Stegostoma tigrinum: one gene and its partner. The protein of the gene in region 1 interacts with the protein of each later gene in a pairwise test. Links are inferred from orthologs where the notes say so. Each region holds a gene or a part of one and is shown on either strand. Other genes may lie near its edges.

Region 1 (10,910 bases):
GGGCTCCACAGAGAAGGGCTGAGAATCCGCACAATCCCAAGGATTGTGCAAATAATACCCGAGGGGGGATTTTAAAATTCTTCAGTATATAGTAGCTTTAGTGTGGCAGACCTTACAGCTTTGTATACTTACACACTCAAGAAGGTACAGTGCTTCCTCAGGATACAGCAATTGTTTCCCATGTTCCACATGGCCCATGGTGTGCCAGAATTTGCCCTGCGTAGAATCGAGAAGGGAGGTGGAGGGGGGGGAAGATGCAATAGAATTAAGAAATCAGACAGGTTGCATTAACCTTGGGTTATCAACAATAAAATCATTGCAATGAACTTCAGTTACTGAATGTTAGAAAGAAAGAATCTACATTTTGCAAGCAGCCTTTAATAACCTCCAAATGTCTTAAAGTGCTTTAGAGCCAGAAGAAATGTGCTAACCAAATAGCACACAGAAGGCTCTCACAAACAGCAATGAAATAATCTGTTTCAGCAGCACACAAAGCAAAATGTTATTCATGCTGGAAATCAACTAAAAGCAGGAAATGAGATAACAAGGTGTAGAGCTGGATGAACACAGCAGGCCAAGCAGGAAGTGTTGGAAACACTCAGCAGGTCAGGCAGCATCTGTAAAGAAAGAAATAGGGTTAATGTTTCAAGAGGATAATCGTACTGCAATTCATCAGTATTTTCTGTTTTGATATCTGTGCTGATGTTGGTTGTAGGATAAATGCTGGGCAGAACTCTGGGGAGAACTCTCTAGCCCCATGTTAAATAGTTTTGTGAATTCTCATATGCACCTGAAAGGGACAATGGAGTCTCATATGCTCATCCAGTGAGTGAAGCTCAGGTAACACTAACGGTTTTTAAAAAAAACTTGTCCAACATAAAACAGTACATCTGACAATGCAGTGCTTCTCTGGAGTGTCTACCTTGGTTTTCTCCAGAATGGGACTTGAATCCGTGACACTCTCATTGGGAGAGGAGGGCTGGCACTGAGCTATGCCTGGTCATGACTTGTAACAGTACAATGAAGCGTGATGAAATTTGGTACAATGTGGCTTTTCAACCATCTCCCAGCTGACTCGTAAATTGTGGAGATCGAAGAGTTAGAAGAGGCACCCCAGGCAAGGTGTGATCATTTTGACCATAATGACTGGACTGGGATAGAGTCCTGGCAATCATTCTGATTTGGACAGAAAGAGAGGGGCACCAAAAAGGAAATCAGACTGTCCACTGTCTGTAATTAATTCCTTTCTATCTCCTTTCTGCATGTTATTTCAAACGGTTAACATTTTTAAAAAATCACCCTTACTAAAGAAGAATTGCATAGAAACAGGTTAAAAAGCTTGTTACAAACACGGAAGAATGTACTTTTACTGAAACATGATTAAAATAGAAGGCATTCTGGAATTTAAGGGTTCTGTCAAGACCTATCTGCTTTGGGAATGGCAAGAAAAGTAAACTCACTGCATTGGATTTCAGCTCCACAATGCTTTCCTGGGGCTTCCACTCAGCTTTTATCAGGCTTCCTCTAGATGAAAAGAGAAACTTTATGCAACTATCTCCCACAAAGCACGGCACGGCAATTCAGTGACTATAAATCTGCCAGATCAGGGAATGCACAACACATTATTAACCTCACATTCCACCACAGTCATAATTGTCCAAGCAGCAGAATACTAATCCACTGACTGTCACAAGAATTAACAACCGGTGCTGAACTCCAGAAAAGTCTGCCAATTGATATCATCTCCCCAACATCACACAAAATCAGCGTTTGAAGTGTGCTATTTCTGATAAGGGGTTATTTTAATGGAAAGTTTAAAGCAAGTTTCATTCTGTGCCTATCCTGTGCTGTCCCTGTCCTTGGATTGTTTGATGGGAACAGTGTACAATGATCTTGATATTTACTTTCAAGTTTAAAAGAGCAGAGGGATGTCTATTTTGTGTCTAACCCTGTGCTATCCCTGGCTCTCGGGTTTTTGATGGGGACAGCATTGAGGGGCCTTCACTTTCCATTTCCTATTTGTTTAAATGAACAAAGGAAGATTTACTTCTAGTTTAAAAGAGTTAGAGTAGCTTTAAACTGTACCTAACCACATGCCATTCCTGTCCTCGGAGTGTTTGATGGGGACAATGTAGAAAGACCTCTACTCTGTATCTAACCCTGTGCTGAATCGGTCCTGGGAGTATATAATGTAGACAGCGTAGAAGGAGTTTTACTCTGGATAAAATCCCATTTTGTACCTGTCCAGGAGCTGTTTGATGGGGTCAGTGTAGAGGAAAAGCTTTAATCAGTAGGTAATATACACTGCAACCCAAAAACCTACAAAATAGGTTGAAACATTGAACTCTCACCAAAGCAAGCTAGAAAACAGCTGAGACTATGTACTTCACAATGGACCAGAGACTGAGGGGTCAGTCTGATCAGCGTATTCGCAATGTCAAATCAAAGGAACTGCACCGTGCTCCCACAATACAGAAGCTTCTCCTGCTGTCTGTTTCCTACCTCTGCCTGTGTGGCTGAGCTATAGTTATTGTAGTAGGCCCATTGCCGAGTTCTGGCAGCTGCCCCATGGATATTTCAGGCCCCGGGTATTTCTGACTGACAAGCAGCAATCCTTACAGTCGTTCCACTCGCTCTTCAGACAGCAGCTGCCACTGTTCCTCTCGGCACACCCGAAGCCGCTCCATCTGCTCCTCAGAGTGATCCGGAATGAAGTCTTTCTGTCCATGGGTCCGTTGGGGAATTTTGTGATCCCGGGATCGTGCCGCGAACAATTCCTCAGAGCTGCAAAAGGGACACAAGAGAAAGTCTGCAAACATTAGGTGCCTGCTTGTTAAAGCATACGTTTATTATTCAATATAACGTAGAAAGTGTACCCCTTGTTACATCTGTCTGCTAGGTTCTTTATTCTTTCAAAGTTTATGGCTTTTGCTGACAAGGCTGGCATTTATTGCCACGTTTTCCATTGAACTAAATGGCTTGCTTGGCCATAGAACAATTAAGACACAAGCACATCGCTGTAGGTCACAGGTAAGGATGGCAGACTTCCATCATTAGTGAACCAATTGGATTTTTACAGTAGTTGATGATGGTTTCATAGTCACTATTCCTGAATTGGGATTTCATCAGTTCCATCAAATTCCATCAGTCACCACCACGGACTGTGATGGGATTTGAATCAACACCTTCAAAGTATTAGCCTGGAATTTTGGATTACTAGACCAACACTGCCACTCGGCTACTATCTTCCTCAGGGACAGGAACGTACAATATGCCATGCCACAGTTTTGAACATGGGCAGGGCATCTCCTTCAACAAACATCACAAAAACAGCTTATATGGGAGTTATCAAACTGTGCACAGAAAACTTTCATGAACACCAAATGTGGCAGCTACATTTCTTATTTTGCAACACCATCTGCATTTCTAAAGTAATTCATTGGCTAGGAGTACCTTTGAGATGCACAGTGGCTATAAAGAGTACTGTATAAAGGCAAATCTTTGCTCTTTTGTGGCAACTCTGCTGTTTTCAAGCGTCAGATCGACCTGTCTGTTCTTTCTACCTTCTGTCAGGTGAACAGGTACATACATCGTTACACAAAAGAACAAAGAACTTGCATTTATACAGCACCTTTCACGTCTTTGAGATCCCACTGTGCTTCATTGCTCATTAACTTACTCATGTTACAGATTTCAAATCCCACAACCTCTCAATTGACATGAGTGTGTGCTACTCCTGATCTCAGGCTAACAAGGTAATTTTGTAAAATAATAAATGGAGAAAGAGGCTGTCAGAAGACACCTGACCCTTAACTTAGGATGAAAATAACCAAAACAAAAACCACCCAGGATTTCGATCCATCCGTAACTAAGTCATGCAGATGTTGAGGGAGTATGCTGCATTTGTTAGTCACAAGTTCAAAACAAACAAGAAAGTCCACAAGCCAGTGCCAGATCATTGTGATTACAATCATCACAAATAGTTGCATTTACATCAATACCTGATCGAGAAGTCTCAAAGGAATCCACCCCAAGTTAAACAGAAACCCTTGAACTCAGCAGCTGAATCTGTACACATTTCAGATCCTAAAAACCAGAGATGTTCTCCCATTTGTCACTATTTTCTAAACAGACTGAAAGCGGACGATGGGGTGTTTGGGGTATGGGAAAGCACATTTCACCAAATTTGCCTGGTCAGTTTTGGCGACTTTTGCGGTTCAAACCCCACACAGCCCAGGAGGGACTACATAATGGCTGCAAGGAATAGAAACACAAGTAGGCCATTCAGCCCATCGAGTCTGCTCTGCCGTTTAATAGGATCGAAACGCATCTCATATTCTTCACGTCCACTTCCCTGCCCTTTCTGTTTAAACTTCAGTCTAGTCAAGAGTGATCCTCATCCTTAAACACACACAAGGACTCTGCCCCAAAGCTCTCTGTGTCAGGGAGTTACAAAGGCTCACCATCCTCTGAGAGAACAAATTCCTCCAAATCTCAGGGTTAAACTGGTGCCCCCTTTATTCTGAGACTATGCCCCATGAAGGGGGTGTGGGTGAACCATCCTCTCAGTATCTACCCTCTCTAACACACACACACAGAGACACACACACACACAGACTAACACACACACACACAGAGAGACTAACACACACACAGAGACAGACTGACTAACTAACTAACACACACACACACACACACACACACACACACACACACAGAGACACACACACACACAGACTAACACACACACACACAGAGACTAACACACACACAGAGACAGACTAACTAACTAACTAACACACACACACCATAATAATCCAGTCTGAGGGAAGATCATTTTGTTTTGAAGCCGCACTGCTGTCAGTGCTACATTTACATCCACCAGCCTGGGCAGCAAAACACCACAGCCACACTTCAGAACCCCGACTTTAACGCGGAGCGTCACTGACCCGGGCCCCCAGGCCTCCCTCTCCTTTACCTCAGGCTCCGGCTCACGGCTCCCAGCCCAGCCGCCTCCATTTCCAAGGACTGAGGCAAGAGCGGGGCCGCTGGGTCCTAGTGCCCGCACCACGTCACTGCCGGGTCCTAGTGCCCTCCCACTCATCGCCGGGTCCTGGTGCCCTCCCACTCACACGGCCGGGTCCTGGTGCCCTCCCACTCACACGGCCGGGTCCTGGTGCCCGCTCACTGACACGGCCGGGTCCTTGTGCACCCCCCCCCCAACGACATCGCCGGGTCCTAGTGCCCTCCCACTGACTCGGCCGGGTCCTGGTGCCCGCTCACTGACACGGCCGGGTCCTAGTGCCCTCCCACTGACATCGCCGGGTCCTGGTGCCCGCATCACGTCACTGCTGGGTCCTAGTGCCCTCCCACTGACATCGCCGGGTCCTGGTGCCCGCATCACGTCACTGCTGGGTCCTAGTGCCCTCCCACTGACATCGCCGGGTCCTGGTGCCCGCTCACTGACACCGCCAGGTCCTAGTGCCCGCATAGCGTCACCGCGAGTTCAGGTGCCCGCTCACTGAACCGGCGGGTCCAATTGTCGGCACAGAAAGAGCCGGGTCCTACTGCCCACCCCTGTTCCACTGCCCCGACCGTTCCCATTGCCGACAAAGTGTTACGCTCTTTCTCTCTGCATTGATGATGCCAGACCTGCTGAGTATGTCCAGCATTTGTCTGTGATAATAGTGTGGAGCTGGAGGAACACAGCAGGCCAGGCAGCTAGAGAGAAGCAGGAAAGCTGACGTTTCTGACATTTCTGTAGAAGGGTCCTTACAGCAAATGTAAACTTTCCTGCTCCAGAGATGTGGAGGAATTTGTTCTCTCAGAGGATGGTGAGTCTTTGTAACTCCCTGACACACACACACACACACAGCTTTGGGGCAGAGTCCTTGTGTGTGTTGAAGGATGAGGTAGACTCGACTATTTGGGGAATCAAGGTTTAAGGAGAAAAGGCAGAAAGGGGATTAGATGAGGCTTGATCCTATTAAACGGGAGAGCAGATTCGATGGGCTGAATGGCCTACTTGTGTTCCTATTCTTTGCAGCCATTATGTAGTCCCTCCTGGGCTGTGTGGGGTTTGAATCGCAAAAGTCACCAAAACTGACCAGGCAAATTTGGTGAAATGTGCTTTCCCATACCCCAAACACCCCATCGTCCGCTTTCAGTCTGTTTAGAAAATAGTGACAAATGGGAGAACATCTCTGGTTTTCAGGATCTGGAATGTGTATAGATTCAGCTGCTGAGTTCAAGGGTTTCTGTTTAACTTGGGGTGGATTCCTTTGAGACTTCTCGATCAGGTATTGATGTAAATGCAACTATTTGTGATGATTGTAATCACAATAATCTGGCACTGGCTTGTGGACTTTCTTGTTTGTTTTCTACATGTGACAACAAAGCAGCATACTCGGTCAACATCTGCATGACTTAGTTACGGATGGATCGAAATCCTGGGTGGTTTTTGTTTTGGTTATTTTCATCCTAAGTTAAGGGCCAGGTGTGATGAGCTAATCTCTCTCTGACAGTCTCTTTCTCCATTTATTAGTTTACAAAATTACCTTGTTAGCCTGAGATCAGGAGTAGCACACACTCATGCCAGTTTGGAGGTTGTGCGGTTTGGTATATAAATGCAAGTTCTTTGTTCTTTTGTGTAACGATGTATGTACCTGTTCACCTGACAGAAGGTGGAAAGAACAGACAGGTCGATCTGACGCTTTAAAACAGCAGAGGCAATGAATTCCACAAGCTCACCACTCTCTGGCTGAAGAAATGTCGTCTCATTTCAGTTTTAAATTTACTCCCTCTAATTTTAAGGCTGTGCCCACGGGTCCTAGTCTCCCCGCCTAACAGAAACAACTTCCTAGCGTCCACCCCTTCTAAACCATACATTATCTTGTAAGTTTCTATTAGATCGCCCCTCAACCTTCTAAACTCTAATGAGTACAATCCCAGGATCCTTAGCCGTTCATCATACGCTAAACCTACCATTTCAGGGATCATCCATGTGAATCTCAGCTGGACACGCTCCAGGGCTAGTATGTCCTTCCTGGGGTGTGGGGCCCAAAATTGGACAAAGTATTCTAAATGGGGCCTAACTAGAGCCTTATAAAGCCTCAGAAGCACATCGCTGCTTTTATATTCCAACCCTCTTGAGATAAACGACAACATTACATTCGCTTTCTTAATTACGGACTCTACCTGCAAGTTAACCTTTAGATAATCCTGGACCAACACTCCCAGATCCCTTTGTACTTCTGATTTGCGAACTTTCTCACCATTTAAAAAATAGTCCATGCCTGTATTCTTTTTTCCAAAGTGCAAAATCTCACATTTACTCACATTGAATTTCATCAGCCATTTCCTGGACCACTCTCCTAAACTGTCTAAATCTTTCTGCAGCTTCCCCACCTCCTAAGTACTACCTGCCTGTACACCTATCTTTGTATCATCGGCAAACTTCGCCAGAATGCCCCCAGTCCCTTCATCCAGATCATTAATATATAAGGTGAACAGCTGTGGCCCTAACACTGGACCCTGCGGAACACCACTCGTCACCGGTTGCCATTCTGAGAAAGAGCCTTTTATCCCAACTCTCTGCCTTCTGTCAGACAGCCAATCCGCAATCAAAGGCAGTAGCTCACCTCGAACACCATGGGCCCTCACCTTGCTCAGCAGCTTCCCATGAGGCGCCATATCAAAGGCCTTTTGGAAGTCTAGACAGATAACATCTACTGGGTTTCCCTGGTCTAACATACTTGTTACTTCTTCAAAGAATTCTAACAGGTTTGTCAGGCACGACCTCCCCTTACTAAAACCATGCTGACTTGTTTTAATCTGACCCTGCACTTCCAGGAATTTAGAAATCTCATCCTTGACAATGGATTCTAGAATTTTACCAACTACCGAGGTTAGGCGAATCGGCCCATAATTTTCCTCTTTTGCCTTGATTCTTTCTTAAACAAGGGGGTTACAACAGCAATTTTCCAATCATCTGGGACTCTCCCTGACTCCAATGACTTCTGAAAGATCACAACCAAAGCCTCCGCTATTTCCTCAGCCACCTCCCTCAGAACTCTAGGATGTAGCCCATCGGGGCCAGGAGATTTATCAATTTTTAGACCTTTTAGCTTTTCTAGCACTTCCTCTTTTGTAATGCCTACTGTACTCAACTCTGGCCCCGGCTCTCCCTAATTGTTGGCATACTACTCATGTCTTCCACTGTGAAGACTGTCGCAAAGTACTTATTAAGTTCTTCAGCTATTTCCTTATCTCTCATCTTCCTTATCTTCCAGAAAACATCTGATCAGCAAACTCTCCTCATATTTATTGCCTACCATCAGACATAGTGGAAGGATTCACAGGCAGACAAATAGCCTAATTGGTAACGTTACAACCACATCTTAGATGACCAACAAGTCCTGGAGTGGGACTTGAACACCCAGCATCTGGCCTAGAAAGAGGGGCACTATCACTGCTTCAAAAGATTTGCTTCATGCAAACTACTGCCATAGATACATGGATGGTGCAACGCCAGCTCTGTAATAACTGATTGGGATAGTCCCAAAGAGCAATTGGGACATGAGTTGCAGACAAGGAAAGACATCACATCAGAAACAGGTACTCATTTCCATAGTCAATGAGTCATCAAGTAGAGATATCCCAAATAAGACATTCCTGTATAAATTTCCCACCTCATAAACTTTGCAACAAAATCAGAAACTGCTGGAAAACTTAACAGAGATAGTAGGAACTGCCAATGCTAGAGAACCTGAGATAACAAGATGGAGAGCTGGATGAACACAGCAGGCCAAGCAGCATCAGAGGAGCAGGAAAGTTGATGTTTCAGGTCTAGACCCTCCTTCAGAACAGAAGGGTCTAGACCCAAAACGTCAGCTTTCCTGCTCCTCTGTTGCTGCTTGGCCTGCTGTGTTCATCCAGCTCTACACCTTGTTATCTCAGAAAAACTTAGCAGCTCTGGCTGCATTCAGGTTTAGACAGCCTTCTTCAGAAATGATCCACAGATGTAGCCAGAGCTGCTGAGCTTTGGCTGCATCTGTAGATCATTTCTGGAGAGGGCTGTCTAGACCTGAAACATTAATTCTGCTTTCTCGCCACACATGGATGAACTGAAGGGAATGTATATTAGGCAGGAAAAGGTGTCGGATAGATTGTTAGGTCTGAAGGCTGATAAGTCCCCAGGACCTGATGGTCTGCATCCCAGGGTACTTAAGGAGGTGGCTTTAGAAATCGTGGACACGTTGGTAATTATTTTCCAATGTTCTATAGATTCAGGATCAGTTCCTGCGGATTGGAGGGTGGCTAATGTTGTCCCACTTTTCAAGAAAGGTGGGAGAGAGAAAACAGGGAATTATAAACTGGTAAGCCTGACGTCAGTGGTGGGAAAGATGCTGGAGTCAATTATAAAAGATGAATTTACGAAGCATTTGGATAGCAGTAACAGGATAGGCCAGAGTCAGCATGGATTTACGAAGGGGAAATCATGCTTGACTAATCTTCTGGAATTTTTTGAGGATGTAACTATGAAGATGGATAAGGGAGAGCCAGTGGATGTAGTGTACCTGGTCTTTCAGAAAGCCTTTGATAAAGTCCCACACAGGAGATTGGTGAACAAAATTAGGGCACATGGTATTGGGGGCAAACTATTGGCTTGGATTGAAAATTGGCTGGCCGACAGGAAGCGAAGAGTACTGATAAACGGGTCCCTTTTGGAATGGCAGGCGGTGACCAGTGGGGTACCACAGGGTTCGGTGCTGGGACCGCAGCTGTTTACGATATATATTAATGATATAAATGAAGGCATTAAAAGTAATATTAGCAAATTTGCTGATGACACAAAGTTGGGTGGCAGTGTGAAATGTGAGGAGGATGTTATGAGAATACAGGGTGACTTGGACAGGCTAGGTGAGGGGACGGATGCATGGCAGATGCAGTTTAATGTGGATAAATGTGTGGTTATACACTTTGGTGGCAAGAACAGGAAGGCAGATTACTATCTAAATGGAGTCAAGCTAGGTAAAGGGGAAGCACAACGAGATCTGGGTGTTCTTGTACATCAGTCAATGAAAGCAAGCATGCAGGTACAGCAGGTAGTGAAGAAAGCTAATGGCATGCTGACCTTCATAACAAGAGGAATTGAGTATTGGAGCAAAGAGGTCCTTCTGCAACTGTACAGGGCCCTGGTGAGACCGCACCTGGAGTATTGTGTGCAGTTTTGGTCTCCAAATTTGAGGAAGGACATTATTGCTATTGAGGGAGTGCAGTGTAGGTTCATAAGGTCAATTCCCGGAATGGCGGTACTATCATATGTTGAAAGATTGGAGCGACTGGGCTTGTATACACTTAAGTTTAGAAGGATGAGGGGGGATCTGATTGAGACATATAAAATAATTATAGGATTGGACACTCTGGAGGCAGGAAGCATGTTTCCGCTGATGGGGGAGTCCAGAACCAGAGGACACAGTTTAAAAATAAGGGGTAGGCCATTTAGAACAGAGTTGAGGAGAAACTTCTTCACCCAGAGAGTGGTGGATATATGGAATGCTCTGCCCCAGGAGGCAGTGGAGGCCAAGTCTTGGATACTTTCAAGAAAGAGATGGATAGACCTCTTAAAGATAGTGGATTCAAGGGTTACGGGGATAAGGCAAGAACAGGATACTGATTGTGGATGATCATAATGAATGGTGGTGCTGGCTCGAAGGGCTGAATGGCCTACTCCTGCACCTATTGTCTATTGTCTATGCAACCAGAGTTGCTGAGTTTTTCCAGCATTTTTGATTTCTAGCATCCACAGTTCTTTGGTTTTCTGTAAAATTTGTAGACGTAAATACTGAAGCCTATTTCCAATGGTCATCCAGCTTGTCTTATATTCGTACTGATTTACAACTCCTCAT
Region 2 (11,899 bases), on another chromosome or scaffold:
ACATACCTATTCCTCTCTCAACCTTCACAGTTATAATGAGAAAATCTAGCCTCTATTAACTATTATTTCACATCTCTGGAACTATTCAAGTAATGGAACACCACCACCTGCAAGCCCCTCTCCAAGCCACTCATCACTCCGACTTGGAAATATATCACCATTCCTTCCTGTTGCCAGGTCAAAATTCTAGAATTCCCTCCCTAAGGGCATTGTGGGTCTAGCACATGGCCTGCAGTGGTTCAAGAAGGCAGCTCACCACCACCTTCTCAAGGGCGACTGGGGATGGGCAATAAATGCTGGACACCCACATCCCATCAGTAAACAACAAAGGGGAGACAGTGGTGTAGCCCCTGGACTAATAACCCAGTGACCCAGGCTACTGCTCCAGAAACACGCAGTCAAATCCAACCACTGCAGCTGGTGAAATTTAAATTCAAAAAGAGAATAAATTGGAAATAAAAAGTTTGTCTAATGATAATCACAAAACCCTTAATGATTGCTGTAAAAGCCAATCAGGTTCACTAATACAAAAACAACGTTGCTGGAAATGCTCAGTGGGTCCGGCAACATCTTTGAAGGTCAAACAGAGTTAACGTTTCGGGTCCAATGACCCTTCCTCAGGCCCTTCCTATTCTGAGGAAAGGTCACTGGACCCAAAACGTTAACTCTATTTTTCTCCTTCACAGACGCTGCCAGACCTGCTGAACTTTTCCAGAAACTTTGTTTTTGTTCCTGATTTACAACATTTGCAGTTCTTTTGGTTTTTATTCAAGTTCACTAATACCCTTAGAGAAGGAAATCTGCAATCCTTAACTGGTTTTGCTACATGTGATTCTACACCCATAGCAATATGGTTGCCTCTCAACTGCTCTCTGAAATGGTCTAGAAAGCCACCCTCAAACCATTAAAAAAAAAAATCGAAAGAAAGGAATGAAACCAAATGGATCATCTGGTGTCAATCTATCTGTTGCAGGTGCATCTGCTGTTGCCACTATCAATAAAAGTGACCACCGCACAGACTTTGTGGAGGTAAAGTTTCATTTTTACTCCATTATCATGTGTGGCAATTGTGTTAACTGTGAAAGGTGATAACCAGATCTCACAGAACAAGACTGGGAATCTGTGAGGCACTGTGGGCCATCAGTAACATTTTATTTAACCACAATCTGTAACCTCATGGCCTGGCAAATACTGGCTATTAGCATCAAGCCTGGAGATCAAACCTAGTTCAATGAAAAGTGCAGTAGCACCTGCCAGAAGCAGCGCCAGGCATACACACGATGAAGTTACAATACAGGACTACTTGATGCAAAACGGCAGAAGCAGGATACAGTAATCAAAGTGATCCTAGAATCAATGGATCAGATCTAAGTTCTGCAGTCCTGTCACATCCAGTCATGAACGGTGGTGGACAATGAAATGACTCACTGGAGGAGAAGGCTCCACAAATATCCTCATCTTTAAAAAGAGGGCAGAGGCCAACACACAGGTACAATGGATAAGGCTGAAGCAATTGAAACTGTTCTGAAGAAGGGTCACTGGACACAAAACATTAATTGATTTCTCTCCACTGATGTTGCCAAACCTGCAGACATCTTCCAGCAACTTCTGTTTCTGTTTGTGTTTGAAACTGTGTTCAGCCAGAAGTGCTGAGTGGATGATCCGCCTTGGCATCCTCTTGACTGTGTCACAGTCAGTCTGATTCATGCCATATGCTATCAAGAAACAGATGACGGTACTGGACGCTGTAAAATCTATAGGTCCTGACAATGTCCCAACAATAGTACTGACGCCTTGAGCTCCAGAATTTGCTGCATCCCTAGTCAAGCTGTTCCAATACAGCTACAATACTGGGATCAACCTGACAATGTGGAAAATTTCCCAGATATCGCCTGTCCACACGAAGCTGGACAGCTCCAACCTGACCAATTACTCCCAAAGTCTACTCTCAGTCATCAGCTAAGTAATGGACAGGACTGCACCAGCTGAAGACAGCGACTCATCTGCACTTTCTCAAAGGCATTATGGATTGGTAATGAGGACTCAAACATCCTATCAATGCATAACAAAAGAAAAACATCAAGTTGGCCATCCTCTCAACACTTTGCATTCTTCCTAATGTATAGTGCCCAGAATTAAACACATTCCTGCTGTTGGAACCTATAAAGGTTCCTAACTTTTGCACTCAATGCCTCAATTTACAAAGTCTGGAACCTCATATGCTTTATTAACTGAATTGTTAATCTGTCCTGGCATATTAAATGAACTCTTTGTGAAATCCTTCCATCTTTTATGTTCTTGCATCAGCCTTTAAAATTGTACAGCTCGGCTTGTATTATTTTACCTGATTCTTCCACTCAAATTGAACCACCTACCTACGTCCGACATGTTTTCACATTCCACCAGCAGTCTATGTCTGCTCCTGGCTATCTATCTTCCTCACTGCTTATAAGTTGCATGTCATATGCCAACTTTGAAATTGTGCCCTATAACGCCACGTTCAAATCATTAAAGTAAATGAGAAAAAGCAATGATCCTAAAATACCTTTCCATAAAGGGCTTGCATACTGTCTGGGTTCCTCACAATTACGTTGTTATTCATAATTTCTGCATAATAATGTTCTTGTTCATATGCATTTGATTCTTCTCGTTTTAATGGCACAGGATAAGGAGCTTCGTAAGATTCATACACTCTTCTCTTTCTTTTTGGCGCACAGAAGTTTGCTTCTGCCATAGCACCAAAGATTCCTTTGAAGTAATTTCAGACAGGATGGTTGCTTCAAATTAAAATATTCAGAAGTTAAGGGTTTTACATGGGTAAACAATTACTGAGCAGCTTAGCCAGTTAATAAATTCCCTGAAGTTTTTAATAAGGTAAATGCCAAACACAATTCTGTTGGAAGGTATCACTGCTAATTTATAATGAATCATTTCAGATCTTTATAGCCATGTACACAGAATACCTACAGTGTAGAAACAGGCCATGTGGCCCATTGAGTCTGCACTGACCCACTGAAGAACATCCCATCCAGACTCAGATGCCCACCCTGTCCCCATAACCCTGTGTTTTCCATGACTAATCCACCTAGCCTGCACATCTATTGCCACTACAGAGCAATTTACAATGGTCAATCTACCTAGCCTGTTCATCCTTGGACTGTGGGAGAAAATTGGAGCATCCAGAGGAAACCCACGCAGACACAGACAGCAAGTGCAAACTCTACTCAGGCAGTCACCCAAGGCTGAAATGCAATCAAGGTTCCTGGTACTATTAGGCAGCAGTGTTAACCACAGTGCCACCATGCTGCTTGTCTCCAACAAGGTTTTAAACAACTGTTAAAGTACCTGTTTTAACAAACTGATATATTTTTATCATCAATGCTTGGTCTGCCACTCAAATCCTCTCTAGACAGACGTCACAAGCAGTTGCAGCCAAGGAGAAGGGGTTTCTTCCTCCTGCAATCCTCTCCACTGAGATTCAGTCATAGAGAATCATGGAATAACAAGGAGTAGAGCTGGATGAACACAGCAGGCCAAGCAGCATCTTAGGAGCAGGAAAGCTGATGTTTCAGGCCTAGACCCTTCATCTAGGCCCAAAACATCAGCTTTCCTGCTCTTAATATGCTGCTTGGCCTGCTGTATTCATCCAGCTCTACACCTTGTTATCTCAGATTGTCCAGCATCTGCGGTTCTATTATGTCTGTTACAACTTTAACCTCACTGCGAAGCCTCTTCTAAGGATGCCTACCCTGAAGAAGTTACCCTCCTCCCTCCAGACCAACCTCAGGGGATCTCTCTCCCACTGCAACTCTCTCGTAATCTCTTCGGCCTTGAAACTGCTCGACCATATCCTGAAGCAAACCAGATACTACAGCCATATCACCTTTCTTAGTCCCTGCCTACGAAACCAGATCATCCCCAATGGACTACAGTCCACATTAAAAGCCTTCCCAATTTGACCCCAAACATAACAATGTCTACATTCAGAACATTGAGACCCTTCAGAAGCGTTTCTCCCAATAGGGAATCATGATCGGGCTATACAATACCCAAGAGGGGGGTTTCACGGATTGTCAATGTGCAGACAGATCTCAGGGAATCAAAGATAACCAGGCATTGGCTGTCTTTTTTACCGACAGGTTCTCCCTCCGCTTTTACCTAATTAATTCCTCAAACTCGAAAATGTCATTCTGCATTACTCCTCCATCCCCTTCAGTCCCTCATTTCCTCTCTACAGCAGGCCTTTCCATAACTCTGGCCATTTCCTCACCCCACTGTATCTACTGTGCGCGCGTATACTGTACCTTCCACTGTTCTCTTTTCATTTTTCTCCCCATCTGCGCCTTTTTCCCCACATGCTTTCCACAAAAACACAGTTGCCCCTGTTGCTCACCGCCCCCGTTCATTCCCAGCGCGTACCGTACCCCCTCCACCCCACTCCTACCGTGAGGGGTCAGCCAAACCGGTCAGCACACTGTGAAGTGCCGCAATGGAAGGAAATAACATTCCAACAGTTGTTACAGGGACGTTCGGAACACTGATACTCCAGATTCCCATTCACAACAAGCACAAACATTGCTACATTGTAACCACCAGAATACTCACGGCCGTTTCAAGCGTCCACACAGCATCAGCCGCCAGTGCAACCCAGAAACATCACCGACCGAACCCTCTCTTACTGTTTCTTCGTTCCCATTGAGTTTCCGCAATAAAGTGCCTCGATTGCATTAATCAATTGTGCATGAAGCTTTCTTCGTCTAATGTATTGAAAACACAAATTTAGATTTGTTCTAGCAAATAACTTACGAATGCCTTCATAACTGAGTTTTTCAATTCTTTTTGGAAACTGCCTATTTGCCTCATCTATGATGTGTGAACAGGGTGATTGGCACTCTTGAAAGAATCAGACTGGCACTGCACAGAAGCAGGCCATTTGGCCTGCTAAAACAATTAACCTCATGCAATTCTTTCATGTAACAATTCAATTTCTTTTGAAAGCCAGGGGAATCTGCTTCTACCATACATCCTAGATTCCAACCGCCTGGTGCTTAAAGTGTTTATCCCATTTTCCTAATTATTTCCTTTGCCAATCAAAGTACAGTCCTTTTTCTTGAAGTCCTGCCAGCAAAACATCTACTCTGGCTAGACCCCACGTGATTTTAAAAACCATAAGAAAGCAGCCACAGGTCCTCCAATAGCTATCTACTGGACCAAAGTTTCTCACTCCAAAACCATTCTCATGGATCTTTTCTGCATCCTGCCAAGCATGACTATGTCCTTTCTGAAAATACTTCATCTGAGGCAGAATGTGTGTGTTTTACATAGCTTTATCATAACTTCCTCAGAGATAGCAAGAACTGCGGATGCTGGAGTCAGAGATAACACTGTGCGGAGCTAGAGGAACACAGCAGGCCAGGCAGCATCAGAGGAGCAGGAAAGCTGAAGAAGGGTGCCGGCCCAAAATGTCAGCTTCCCTGCTCCTCTGATGCTGCCTGGCCTGCTGTGTTCCTCCAGCTCCACACTGTGTTACTTTTATCATAACTTCTTTGTTTTTATATGGTCTGCTTCTATTTATAAAGCCTTTTTAATCATTCTCTCAATCATCCATTCAATGATTTGTGGTAATCAGATCTCTTTGCTCCCACATCCTCTTTAAGATTGTGTCCTTCAGATTATATTGCCTGTCCCTGTTCCTCTCACCAAGCTTAATGGCTTCACACTTCTCTGCAATAAATTTCGTCAGCAGCTTGTCCACCTACTCTAGCAACTTCCCTGTGGAAATGCAGTTTGGTTGAATCTAAACTAGCTGCCGCTAAAACTCGGTCCATTGCTCAGTTACAGTTTTGTCTGCCACTCTTTGATTCCTGTTTATTTGGCTAAATCTGTTCTCTCGCTATTCAAGTTTCCCCCTTCCCAATTAATTATGCTCTGATTGATGCTTGACCTATACCATTCCTAACCTAAACATCGAAACAAAGAGAGGGAGTAGGCCATTTAGTCTTTGAGTCTGCTCTGCCATTAAGTATGATCATGGCTGATCCTCTATACAATATCATATACCCGCTTCCCCCCAACAGCACTTGATACCTTTAATATCTAAAAAAATTACCAATCTTTTTCTTGAATATATTCAGTGACTGTGTCTCCACAGCCTTCTGTGGTTGAGAATTTCACAGGTTCAGCTCCCTTTGAGTGAGGAAATCTTTCTTCATCTCAATCCTACATGGTCTAACCCATATCCTAAGACTTTGCTCCCGGCTTCTAGTCCCAACTGGGGACCACATCCACTCTGCATCCATTCTGTTCAGCCCTGTTAGAATTGTTTATGTTTCTATCAGGTCTTCTCTCATTCTTCAAAAGTCTAGTGTTTACAAGTCCAGTCAAATCAATCTGTCCTCATTGAACAGTCCTGCCAGCTCTGGTATCAGAGATAATGGGAACTGCAGATGCTGGAGAATCCAAGATAACAAAGTGTGGAGCTGGATGAACACAGCAGGCCAAGCAGCATCTCAGGAGCACAAAAGCTGACGTTTCAGGCCTAGACCCTTCATCAGAGAGGAGGATGAAGGGTCTAGGCCCAAAAAGTCAGCTTTTGTGCTCCTGGGATGCTGCTTGGCCTGCTGTGTTCATCCAGCTTCACACTTTGTTATCTCTGGTATCAGCCTACTTAATCTTCATTGAATTCGCTCTTTGTCACATATATCTTTTTTTAGATAGGGTAACCAGAACTGCATCTCATGTTCATCCACACTTGATGTATCACCGTTTAAATAATTTTTTTCTATTTTTCTCACAGAAGTGTTTAATTTCACATTTAGCCACATTGTGCTAAACCCGCCATGTGTTTGTCCACACACCTGTTGAAGTGGCCTAGATGCTTCCTTGCGCCCTCTGCATCACTTAGTATCCTCACCCGCTTTGTGTCATCAGCAAACTTGGAAATGTTGCATTTGGTTCTGTCATCCATGTTGTTTAAATGTATTGTGAATAGCTGGGCACAAGCACAGGTCCTTGTAGTACCCCAATAATCTCTGCCTGCCACTCTGAAAATGCTCCATTTTTTCTCAGTTTCTGTTACCAATTCCTGAACCATGCCAATATATTACCACCAAATCCCATGTGCTTTAACTTTGCCCACTAGCCTTTTATGAAGGACCTTGTCAAAAGTCTTCTGAAACTCCAAATACACCACGTCCACTGGTTCTTCCTGAGCTATTCTACTTGTTATGTCCTTTAAAAAGTCCAGTTCATTTGTTAAGCATGATTTGCCTTTTATAAACTCTTTCATAATTTCCATAAAGGTTCTGTTATCACATTTTTTATAACAAACTCTAGCATTTTAGCCACTACTGGTGTTAGACAAACTGGTCCATAATCCTATGTTTTCTCTCCTTCCTTTTTTAAATCATGGCGTTATTTTTGCCACCTTCCTATCTGTAGGAATTGCTCTAGAATCTGTAGGATTTTGGAAGATAATCATCAATGCATCTGATATTTCCAGGGCCATATCCCTTAGTACTGTGGGATGTATATCACCAGGCCCTGGTGATTTGTCAGCCTTTAAATTTATTAATTTTCCCTGCACTATTTTCTTATTAATACTGATTTCCTTCAATTCCACTCTGTCACTAAACCCTTGGTTCCCTAACATATCTGGGAAGTTATTTGTGCCCTCATTTACAAAGACAGAACCAAAGTATTTGTTTAATTCTTCTGCCATTATTTGTTCCTCATTATACTCTTGTTAGCTTCTGCCCTAAACGTTATGATACATTAATCACTGTCCCCTGAGTGGTTCCCTGCTGACATTGATCCACTTAGCAAACCTCAATCCCAAGAACTAGGACCAGTGTCGTCTCCCGTTGGACTGGAAACATTCTGATGCAAAGGATTCTACTGAACATACCCCAGGAATGGGTTTCTTTACACGACTAATTTCCCCATATATATTACAATAATTTACACATCCCATTATTTCTACTCTATAATATGTACAAGTTCCTAATTGCAAATTTGTTTCTTTACACGTTTCCCAATTGTCAGTCACCTACACAATAAACTGAGCAATGCAATTATACATCATTACTTCTCAGCTATAGCCTTGAATGTACAAGAGCAAAAGAACTCTAAAAAGATCCTCTAAATGAACACTAGAAGGAATTCTAAAAGATCATGAAGCCTGAGAAAACTGGAGTTAATGGGAATCAGGGGAAAACCTTTGGCTGGTTAGGGTCATAGGCACAAAGAAAGATGGTTGTGGTTGTTGGAGGTCAGTCATCTCAGCTCCAGGACATCACTGCAGAAGTTCCTCAGTGTAGTGTCCTAGGTTCAACCATCTTCAACTGCTTCAATGACATTCTCTCCATCATAGGTCAGAAGTGGGGATGTTCACCAATGATGGCATTATGTTCAGTGCCATTTGCGAGTCCTCAGATACAGAAGCCTCAGGTTCAAATGCAACAAAATCTGGATAATATCCAGGCTTGGACTGACAAGTGGTAAGAAATATTCTTGCCACACAAATGCCAGGCTATAGCCATCCCCAATAAGAGACAATCTAACCCATGCCACTTGACATTCACCAGTGTTGCCATCACTGAGTCTGCTGCTATCAACATCCTGGTGGTAGGTAACCATTGACCTGGAACTGATTTAGACTCACCATATGAATACAGTGGCTACAATAGCAAGTAAGAGTCTGAGAATACTACAGTGAGTAACCTATCTTCTGACTTTCCAAAGTCTGTTACCATATACAAGACACAAGTCAGGAGTGTGATGGAATATTCTCCCCTTGCCCGGATGAGTGCCGGTCCAGCAATAGTAAAGAATCTTGACTCCATCCAGGACAATGCAGCTTAGTTGGTTGGCACCATATCCACAGTCATTCAGTTACTCCACCAGTGATGCTCAGTTGCAGCAGTGCATATTATCGACAAGATGCACGGTATTCATAAAACTCACAACCTTGCAAAAACATGCACTACTGTTTAGCACCTGATTCTCAAGCTCTGAAACTCAGAGGGAGACATGGAATAAATTATTTGTTTTGCTGATGAATGATAACAGAAATATATTAAAGACATTTCATTTGAAAATACGCAACACTGAATATATCACTTTTATTACTTGAAAATTCTTGATATATCTTTTACATTGTCCTTGAAGAATCATGTAGGTACATGCTCTAGATATAATGGATAATATTCTATAGAAAAATTGTGGCAATTTTTAAATTCAGCTCCATTTTAATCATGTACTACATCTTAAAGGTCACCAGATGGCACTTCTGTTACTGACCTGGCAATGTAAATATCCTCTCAAATTATAGTAATAATCATTTAAGTACTTTGCTTAGGATTTGATCCCTCACTTTTGTTACTTACTTTACTCAGTTGCAGCATTTGGCTAATAAATTGTAAACTTAACTATATTCTTCATGCTTTTTGCTGTCAGTTTGGTATTTTTTAAAATTTATTTTAGTTTATTCATTTTAGTTCAATATCCCAAGGATGGATAATTGCAAGATCATGGAACATACAATGAGGTATGGCTTATCTTGAATATTAATTGGAAAGAGTACAAAAAATGGTGACAGAGGCCCTTAAAAACTGGGAATACATTTCTTGTACGTTTGCATTGCTCCTCTATAAATGTACCAGCAGAAAAAAGCAAAAGAATTTGTTAATACCAGGATAAACATTATTAATTTCTAAATGATTTGTATGGAATTATACAGTCTCATTCACTTTGTTGATAGGATAAAACATTTGATTTGAAAATCAGTTGAATTTTTTTTATAAAATGTCTCAACCCTGGTGGGAATAATATGGTGGAAATCAAACCCTGCTTTAAGGGAAGATGGTGGCATAGTGGTAATGTCACTAATTTAATAATACAGAGCCCCAGGCTAATCATAGAATCTCTGCAGTGCACATTGGCCTCTGGCCCATCATGTCTGCACCAACCCTCCAAAGAGAAACCCATCCAGACCCACACCCCGACCTAAACCAATAACCACACATTTCCCATGGCTGACCCATTTGCCCTGGACACCATGGGGCAAAGTAACATGGCCAATGCACTAACCTGCAAACCTTTAGACTATGGGAGGAAGCCTGAGCACCTGACTGAAACCCCAGCAGACTCAGGGAGAATGTGCAAACCCCAATCAGACATTCGCCCAAGGCTGAGCCTAGATCCCCGGCACTGTGAGGCAGCAGTACTAACCACCGAGCCACCATGCATAATGTTCTGGTGATTATAGGTTCATATCCCAATGATGACAAATGGTGAAATCTGAGTTCAATAAACTACTGGAATTACCAAGCTATTCTAATGATTATCATACAGATTATCATACTTGTGATTGTTGTAAAGATCCATCTGGTTCACCCTTTATATCTAGCTCACATGTGATTCCAGACTTGTAGTCTGGGAAAGTAGAGATGGATGATAAATGCAAGCATAGACAAATGAATGGAAGGAAAACATGCACAAGTAGTTGCAAGGGAGAAATAGGACTAATTTAATTACCAGGAGGTTAATGCCTGTTTGTGACCATGATCTAAGATAAAAGAAAGTTACAACAGGTTTTATCAATGAACAAGAAAACCAATGTATTCATTATAGCAAAGAGATTATTAATCACAAATATGCAAGCTTAAATCCTTTGAATCCAAATACACACAGATTCACTCACACATAGGATGGACAAGTCCAATAAGACAAATAGTTTTTCGGAAATATCACGGGTTTCTCTGATGTAGCATGGATACCATTCATAGCCTAGGCAAATGCCAAGATGCACGGCATAGCCATTTTATTAACAGGTAGAAGCTGTCTTTGTCAGCCATTTTGACATTTGTAACACACATTCCACTATAAAACGGTTTGTGAGATTACTGCTTACCGTGAATGTGCATCATCACTACACTAGGATGGAAATTAGTGCGGTGGTGCATTTCCAGCTAAACAAATAAACAAATTTTAAACAAATAAAAGCTTGCATGCACTGTCATTTACATTGTGAGTTAGCCACATTACCCATATATACATGGTTATGGTCGTGTATTTACAAAAGCTTTTGTTCTGCTAGTTAGTCTTTCTTTTCTCAATATCTACATTCATTGTATGCATGCAAGTTATCACCTTTTCCTTCAACTTCTTCTGACTGGAGTGATGCGCTCTCTGTTTCTATTTCAAAATCTTCTCAGCTGACTCTGCTGATTGACTCTGTTATGGTAGCCACCTTTTTTCTTTAGTTTCTGTCCCACTCTATTTGTCAGTTTGTTAATAAATATGGCCTGTGAAACACTATAAATCTCATCTGGTCCATTTGAGGTTACTAGTCCGGGGTCTTGACTTGCTGCTGCTGAGATATGTGACTCTAAGTTCATACTGGATATTTGGAATTTCATGTCTTCGTTCATGCTGTAGCATTCGATTCTGAAATTAATTTGTCCTCTTGCAATAGGCATAATTCCATCATGGAAATTCAACTTTACCTCCAGGGTGAAATGGTTGAGTAAGAGTTAAGCAGTCTGCATTCGTTAAGGGTTGAATAGAGACAGGCAGTTTCAGTTAGAAGAGTTTTAGTAAAATGATAGAATTGAAGGATATAAAATGCACAGAAACAAGATGTGGAATTGGGACAGCTATACTACCCAATCAGCAAAGATAAGGAACATCTCGGGTAAATACACACGATGCTTGTTTTATGTACCATGAGAAACAAATAAATCAGCTCTGCGACATTTGATAAGCATGAGGTGTGAATTGCTCAAGTAAAGAATTTAGTATGTGAACTAACAAGATGCAGAGCTGGATGAACACAGCAGGCCAGGCAGCAACAGAGGAGCAGGAAAGCTGACATTTTCGATTTAGACCCTTCTTCAGA

What was found.
Region 2: the proteins of tsen54 (region 1) and tsen2 interact in a two-hybrid assay, tested with the Homo sapiens proteins (2 studies listed by BioGRID and IntAct). The two-hybrid records come from large-scale screens. The link is inferred for Stegostoma tigrinum from reciprocal best matches to the Homo sapiens genes TSEN54 and TSEN2.

Annotation. Positions count from the first base shown.
Region 1 is NC_081375.1:51,131,209-51,142,118, forward strand, and holds the start of tsen54 (tRNA-splicing endonuclease subunit Sen54), read right to left. Parts: upstream 5,109-10,910; 5' UTR 5,020-5,108; coding exon 4,979-5,019; intron 2,785-4,978; coding exon 2,620-2,784; exon of another isoform or gene 2,571-2,619; coding exon of another isoform or gene 2,503-2,570; intron 1,525-2,502; coding exon 1,461-1,524; intron 217-1,460; coding exon 133-216; intron 1-132.
Region 2 is NC_081364.1:24,973,338-24,985,236, reverse strand, and holds the start of tsen2 (tRNA-splicing endonuclease subunit Sen2), read right to left. Parts: upstream 4,865-11,899; 5' UTR 4,606-4,864; intron 4,599-4,605; exon of another isoform or gene 4,420-4,598; intron 4,363-4,419; exon of another isoform or gene 4,305-4,362; intron 2,778-4,304; 5' UTR 2,735-2,777; coding exon 2,546-2,734; intron 1-2,545.